Linked DNA regions of Arabidopsis thaliana. The protein of the gene in region 1 interacts with the protein of each later gene in a pairwise test. Each region holds a gene or a part of one and is shown on either strand. Other genes may lie near its edges.

Evidence for each region.
Region 2: the proteins of AT2G33350 (region 1) and AT1G27280 interact in a two-hybrid assay, tested with the Arabidopsis thaliana proteins (one large-scale study listed by BioGRID).

What each region holds. Positions count from the first base shown.
Region 1 is NC_003071.7:14,133,244-14,137,677, forward strand, and holds AT2G33350 (CCT motif family protein), read left to right. Parts: upstream 1-1,898; 5' UTR 1,899-1,959; coding exon 1,960-2,034; intron 2,035-2,121; coding exon 2,122-2,868; intron 2,869-3,004; coding exon of another isoform or gene 3,005-3,007; coding exon 3,008-3,205; coding exon of another isoform or gene 3,206-3,247; exon of another isoform or gene 3,248-3,281; coding exon 3,282-3,410; intron 3,411-3,485; coding exon 3,486-3,593; 3' UTR 3,594-3,918; downstream 3,919-4,434.
Region 2 is NC_003070.9:9,472,349-9,475,533, reverse strand, and holds AT1G27280 (Paired amphipathic helix (PAH2) superfamily protein), read right to left. Parts: upstream 1,508-3,185; coding exon 1,431-1,507; intron 1,339-1,430; coding exon 1,078-1,338; intron 970-1,077; coding exon 780-969; intron 694-779; coding exon 544-693; downstream 1-543. Other genes in the region: AT1G27270 (Paired amphipathic helix (PAH2) superfamily protein), read right to left, coding at 2,385-2,453, 2,536-2,637, 2,724-2,841, 2,938-3,185.

The DNA of each region.
Region 1 (4,434 bases):
TAAGGCAAATAATATGCTTATTGTCCAAAGACATTTTGTCCAGTAGCATTTTACTTTAGATATCTTCTATTTTCTAATACTTTACTGACCTGGTCGAAATCTTTTTCTCTCCTTTGCGGGAAATCATGAGCCAAGTCAATAAAATTAGCAAACGAGATAAAAGATAGAAAAATGCATATCTAAATTAAAAACATAGAAACTAATTCCACGAATATAGGGCTTAATTTAGGACGATTTTCAGTCAAAAACGTCAAAATCCACGGAACAAGAATTGGGTCAAACTCATTGACCGGTCTAAATAGTTTCCTCCTACGTGAGATCCTTTACCCACGTCAACACCATTATATCTACGTGGGCTTTCCACGTCATGTGAAGAGGAGAATCGAGGGTATCACATTTTTGCATCAAGTCCACGCTGGAATATATTATAAAAATTATGTGAAAATAATTTGTACATACACTGAAACACACATGCATTAGTTTAGTATATACAAATATATACATACACATAAAACCAAAAGTATATATATATATGTATGATTGTTACGTGAAACTCCCATAACCTCTTTTTTTCCAGAAAACTATAAGAATTTGAATTTCTTCTCTGTCCAAACAGAAGAACCTTTGTTCTGTTTTTAATTCAATTACCTCTTTGTTTTTTCAGTTTTTGTTGTTTTTTCCTCCCAATATTTGAATTTCTTCCATGGATTTTCTTGTTCATCATACATCACTCATTCCAATATTATTCCACAAATCATCCTTGAAGCCTCGTTCATTAATTTTCTTGCTATAATTCATATTTTCTCGGGAATTTTCTTTATTTTCCCAGAAAGTTTTCGCATTAACATTGGAGATATACAAAGAACACAAACATGTTGCAAGACATGATCTCGTCTCACTCTCACGATCAGCTTTCCATCGTAATTCTCTTCTCATTATTGCTTTCATTTTTATTCATGCAATGCGTAGATGTTTTTGTCTTTGAAATTTTGCTTACATGTATAGATCATATAAACTCGAGTCTAATCTTATAAACTGATTAATTTTTATTCCGTAGTCTTTTATTCGGCAACTACCCTATAATTTCAGCTAGTTTTTCTTTTTTGGTGTAACGTCATTTTCTTCTACTTATATTCCATTTGATCTTCTTATAAATTGCTTCATTCTTTTCGCTTTTCTTTCTTTGTTATTCTCTCCGCACTTCAATTTGTCCTTCCATGCGATTTTTTTTTGAACAATCATTATCATAATTCTCATTGGCATACGATTATTACTTATAAACCAATAGAAAATCGTCACATGATATGGAACAATATTGTTCTACAAAATAACTGTAACCATAATTCACTATATCTATCGTATTTTAGTATAGATTTTTATTCTCATCAAACGAAAAATGCTAGATTTAATCTCTCACCTTGGATTTTATGCAAAATCTACATATTACGTGAATTTCACTAGGAGCATTGTTTGTTATCATGATGGGTTTGTATATGATCATGATCATAATGGGTTTCACACATGTTCTGATATTTTATGAAGTGCCCTTTACTTTTTCTTTGTGGGAAAAAAATCTGGATGTTGGTTCATACCAGGCAATTTTAAATTATTTTGTCAATACGAAAAGGAAATACCAGAATCAGAAAACTTTCCGTTTATAGAAACTCCACTCTTCTTTACTTTATCTTTTTAGCTATTGGAAGTAATTGGAACACTTCTTCTTAACATGTCACATAAAAGAACAGATGCATTTAATCTCTCTTGTGTTGTCCTCAACAAATATTGATAACAAACAAACATTGGATTTGATCAAGACACCAAAATCTTTGGAGTGTTTGGATGTCGAAAAACAGAATCAAAACATCTTACAGATTCTTAACATAGTTAAGCCAGAACAAAATTACTTAAGTATAAATAAATTTCTCTTAAGATTTAAGAACTAATATCTTGTAGCTTCTTATGATTTCACCAGTTCTAATTTCTTGTGACTCAAGCCAAAACCTTTGTTACCTTTTTTTGATGCTTGGCTTTAACGTAATCTCTTCAAAAGATCTTGGTTCATTTACTTTCCATGCTCGATCTAATCTTTGAAACTAACTATTGTTTTTATTATCTTAACAGGATGATATCACGAGCCCTCTTAGTGCTCAGATCTTCGATTTCTGCGATCCACAACTCTTTCAAGAAACCTTTAATCAATCCTCTGAAGTCACCTCTACTTCAAACATTCTTGAGAAATCCGGAAGCTTCCATTCCAACACTAACACCACCACAACAACTGAGAACAGTAACAACAACAACAACAACAAGAACACAAACCTTCAAGACGATGAAGATGACAACAACAACACGGATCTGTCCATAATCTTTGATTCACAAGAAGATTTCGAAAACGATATAACGGCTTCAATCGATTTCTCATCATCTTCACTGCAATATCCAGTCATCGATCATCTCCTCACGGCAATAAGCCAAGACCAGTTTGATTTCTCATCAGGTCTCCAAGTTATTCATCAGCCTCCTAACATTTCATACTCTGGAGATCCTCTGTCTCTATCGGCGATTTCCTCTCTAGCTCCTCCTCCCTTACAATCAGGGGTTTTCGAAGAAGATTGTCTTTCTTCAGTCCCAAGTTACAATCTTGGTTTGAACCCTTCTTGCTCTTTCTTCCGTTCGTCCGGTTTACCGGCGTATATGAGTACCGGTTTATTATCTGCTGAAAGTAATCTCGGTTATCTTCCCGGGAATATTCATGTGGGATCAGAAATCAATAAGCCACATGATCCACTGATGGACTTTCAAGCTGATAATGGTGGTTTTTTTTGTCCGGATTCCATCAAACGTATGTTTAATCCAGAAGATCTCCAGGTAATTGAGTTTTTGTTACAAATATTTTCCGGTTAACGTTTGGTTATCTTTAAGAACCGGTATGGAGCTAAGATTTCCGGTCACAAGACCGGGTTGGTATTCTGATGTGATGCTAACCGGTTTAATTTTGTTGAAGAAGGCACTTGGTGGTGGCGCCGAGAACCAGAGCCACTTGGTGACACCTCAAGCTCATCCAGCATTAGGACCGGTCGATATAAACGGTTTAGAAGACTCAACGTTGAACAAAGTTGGAAAACTCTCCCCTGAGCAAAGGAAAGAGAAGATTCGTAGGTACATGAAGAAGAGGAACGAAAGGAATTTCAACAAGAAAATCAAGGTTCGGTTTTTATTAAACCAAACCGGACTTAACCGTTGTTAAATGTTGTCCCAATGATTTTTTTGGGGGGTTGTAGTATGCGTGTAGGAAAACATTGGCAGATAGTCGACCAAGAGTTAGAGGAAGATTTGCAAAGAATGATGAATTTGGTGAGCCAAATAGACAAGCTTTTTCAAGCCATCATGATGATGAAGATGAAGACGATGTAAGAAAACCGGGTTATTTTAACTCGATTTATATGAATTTATGTGAAAACTAACTAAGCCGATTGGGTTTACAGATGGGAGTGAAGGATGAGGAACAATTGGTAGATTCTTCAGACATTTTTGCACACATTAGTGGAGCAAATTCCTTCAAGTGCAACTACCCAATCCAATCTTGGATTTGAGTTCCAAGTGCAACACCACATATACCTCATGTTTTAACATGAATCTTATAATAGTTACACAAATAGTATTGCTATAGAGTTATGACTTGTATACTTAGTTTTGTCATGCCCCCAACAAGTTCTGTGACTTCTGTCAAAAAAATAAATAATCTAACTCGTATTGAAAATAAATAATGAATAATGGGTTTAGGCAGGTTTGGATGAATAAATCAGTAGTGAGAATAAGGTTGTAATTATGTTACCTAGCAATTTGGAAATTTTGTAGATACTATGATATGTGATGTCTTGTATTTGATAAGTTGAGTTGAATTTTTTATCACCTGAACACTCTATATATATAATCGTCATATGAGTTATTATTTTGCTTCTCAAATCATTCAGATGTTCTATGCATACAAAATGAATAGACCGGTCAAATTGTCATGTCTAACACCTGGTTAGAAGATCTAATTAGTAATTAGATAATAACTATTTGATCCAAAAAAAAGGATAGTAGTAACTATTTTTAAGAAAAAGATGAAATAATTGGGCTTTAATTTGTTAGTATCAAAATGTTGGACTGGGCCAACAGAGTGTTACAGATCAATTATATAATTAAGGCCTCCCTTGTAGGCTACCATTTAAGATTAATGTAAAGCTTAAACGATTGACAACTTGATGCATGCGCAATAAATGATGATCGTACCATAATTTCATGGCCATATATAGTTGCTAAACTGAAAGAAGAACAAAAAGGTTTGTAGTAACTTTGTAATGAAATAATTCGATATTTTATTATGTTGAATAGTTCTTTTTGTTCGTTTCTGAAAAGTGAAAACCCATTTGCTAATTTTTTTTAACT
Region 2 (3,185 bases), on another chromosome or scaffold:
GGTACTACTATATTTTTGTTTGGTTTGCTTTGTACTTTTTGGTCATTTATAGGTTTGTGCTAAGGCTCTGTTTCTCTATGTTTTTGTTTCTACGTTGAACTAAGATGACCCCAAAATCTCATGTCTTCTTGGTAACGAGGAAAATATCATACATGTACATGTCAGAAGAAACTATACACTCTCTTTTAGTCGCTTATATCCAATCAATCTACACCTCAAATATAAAAGCATATTTGCATATCATGACATCATGTTCTCTATGGAGTAAGAATCAAACTAATCTCATATGAAAACTATACACTCACTTCTCATTAGAAAGAACTACTCTTTTTGTCTCTTATACCCCAAACATGCATTATATTCAAAGCATCCTATACTAAAGCAGAGACAGTCTTCTAATGTACTTAGCTATCTCTAGCAGATTTTGACCCTGATGGATCAGTGGGTCTCTTGAAAACGTCTGCAAACCCCATGACTAAATCTTCATGACCCTCAAGAAGTGCAACGACCCGCAAAGACAACAAAGCAAATCAAACCAAAGAACTAAGAGAAAGTGTAATCCAACCAAAGTGTCCCAACCAAGAACCCTACCTCCTGGTACAAGTCATTCACGGACTTGTTTCCTTCTTGGTACATTGTCAATATCTCGAGAAACGACTCATATACATGACGATCATCCCCCTGGAACCTTTCCTGTACATCGACGGATCTGTTAGCATAGATGGAACATCAAAATGGTAAATGGTAAGGATTAGTTTTAGTATTTTAGCACTCTATACCTTAAGCTTGCCGATAAAACTCGCTACACGTTTTCTTTTGTTAATATCAGATGCAGCCCGTTGCTCAATCTTGAGATGGAGGATTCTCTGAGCCTCAGGTGGAAGGAAGGCATTCAAACGGACAAGCAGATTCTTGTGAGCTTTCAAGAGTTCCTCCACCCTTGTAATGCCACCAGCAACATCAATTAATCTACAAAGAGAATAGTATATAACAAACAGAATCACTTCACAATGTTGTATAGATTGAGACTTGAAATTAAGGGCAAACAGAATTGAAGAGGGACACAACAATACATACCTATACCTGATATCATAAAAGAGCTGGAAAAACTCGTAATACTTTGCAGGTTCATCATGAAATGCTTCCTTGACAGTGTTGATGTATGAAACCGCATCATCAATAGTAGAATCCGGTGATACGCTTGTTGCAGCAATGGTTTGAAGTTGGGCTAACCCTTCGCTAGCCTCAGCTGGAAAGAAGTCAAAGAAACGAACAAGCAGGTTCAAGTGATCTCTCATGAGTTCCCCCATACATGCAGTGATTCTAGCTCTATCGTCTCTACACAAGAGAATAAGAAACATGAGAATCAATTTCACATCTGTATTTGTTTAAGAACAAACCAGACATAACCGGGGGAAATCAAGACATACCTATGATTAAAATAATCACGTATGAGGTGGAGAATATGATTAAATTTTTCAGGTTCATCATGATATACTTCCTCCATAGAACCGAGTTATGAGTATTCATCATCCTTAGTTAACTCTAATGGTACGCTTCTTCCATCCATGGTGTGACCTAAAACCATTGTTATAATCCAAACAGGTCAGATCACATCATTTGAATCCATCTACTATCTCAAAGCTATTTCTTTAAAGTTTTTCAAGAAACAGAGCCAAGTGCAATAAATATCGATCTACTTCCTCAAGAACCCTAGATTGAGGAACGATTTGAAAGCAGAGAACCAGAAAACTCGATCGTAACCCTAATCGTCTGGTGAATTGACATATCAACTGAACGAAACAAATGATAAATCGAAAGAGGAACCAAGTATGGCTACCGATATAAGCAGAGCAAAGCAGCAATGATGAACAAGAAGAAGCTTCGTCTTCGTCTTCGCAGAGTAAGGAGTTCAAGATTTCTAGAAGCAAAGTAAAAACCTCAAGACTGCATAGAGTTTTTGTTCACGAGTCTATATTTATACTAGGGAGTATATCAATTTCGTAATTCATATAAGGTTTACTTAAATTAGAAAATATATTTGTTATTAGAATTACTTGATTCTTATTTGGTTTGCTCTGTAGTTTTTGGCTCTGTTCCTCTCTGTTTTTGTTTCTACGTTGAACTCTGTTTTTGAGTGTTTCTCCTCTCAGTTTCTATTAAAAGATGACCCCAAAGATAACCAGAAAATATTAAGTGAAAAAAACATTTGATATCAAAGAAAGCTCTACAAATACACTTTCTTTTAGTCTCTTACACAGCAATTCATTGAACATAGAAGCATAGCATATTTGTGAATGTCATGTTAATCAAACCTAAACTCAAATGTTTTCGTCTCTTAAGGTATATAGTCTTCCAGTACTGTCCTTAGCTATCTCTAGACTCTATGGATCACTGAAAATTTCTGAAAGCTCCATGAGTAAATCTTCATGACCCTGAATAAGTGCACGGACCTGCAAAAGGTAACAAGCAAATCAAACCAAAGAACTAAGAAAGTGCAACACACAACACAAAGTGTCCCACAAAGAACCATACCTCCTGAGACGCCTCATCTTTGGACTTGTTTCCCTCACTGTGCATTCTCAATATCTGGAGAACTGAGTCAACTACTTGACTACCATCGCCCAGAAACCTTGCCTGCACATCCACAATTTTGTTACTTAAATCACAAGTTAACATATAAGAAACATCCAGTAACTATAAGCATTTAAGCACTCTATTACCTTAAGCTTCGTGATAAACCTCCTTGTAGGTGAAAGGAAGACACAGAAACCAAGAAGCAGATTCAAGTGATCTTTCAAGAGTTCCTCCATCCTTGCAATGACACTAGCGGCATTGATTCTACAAAGAGACTTAGTAATATCAGAATCAATTCACATGTGTGTTTGTTGTGTAAATTGAGAAAATCAAACATAACATGGAGAAAACAATTCATACCTACGAGCTTTAAGATCAGTCAAGAGCTTAGTAATTTCCATATATTTTGCAGGTTCATCATGAAATGCTTCCTTCACAGCATTGAGGTAAGAAGTCGCATCATCCATGGTAGGCACCGCCACCGCCGGTGGTACGCTTCTTCCAACCACCTTATTGATGTGAAACTCTGCGCTAGCCTCGGGAGGGATGGCTGTCTGCAACCTAAAAGGAAGTAAGACATTTGAACCATGACACAGATTCGCGTGATC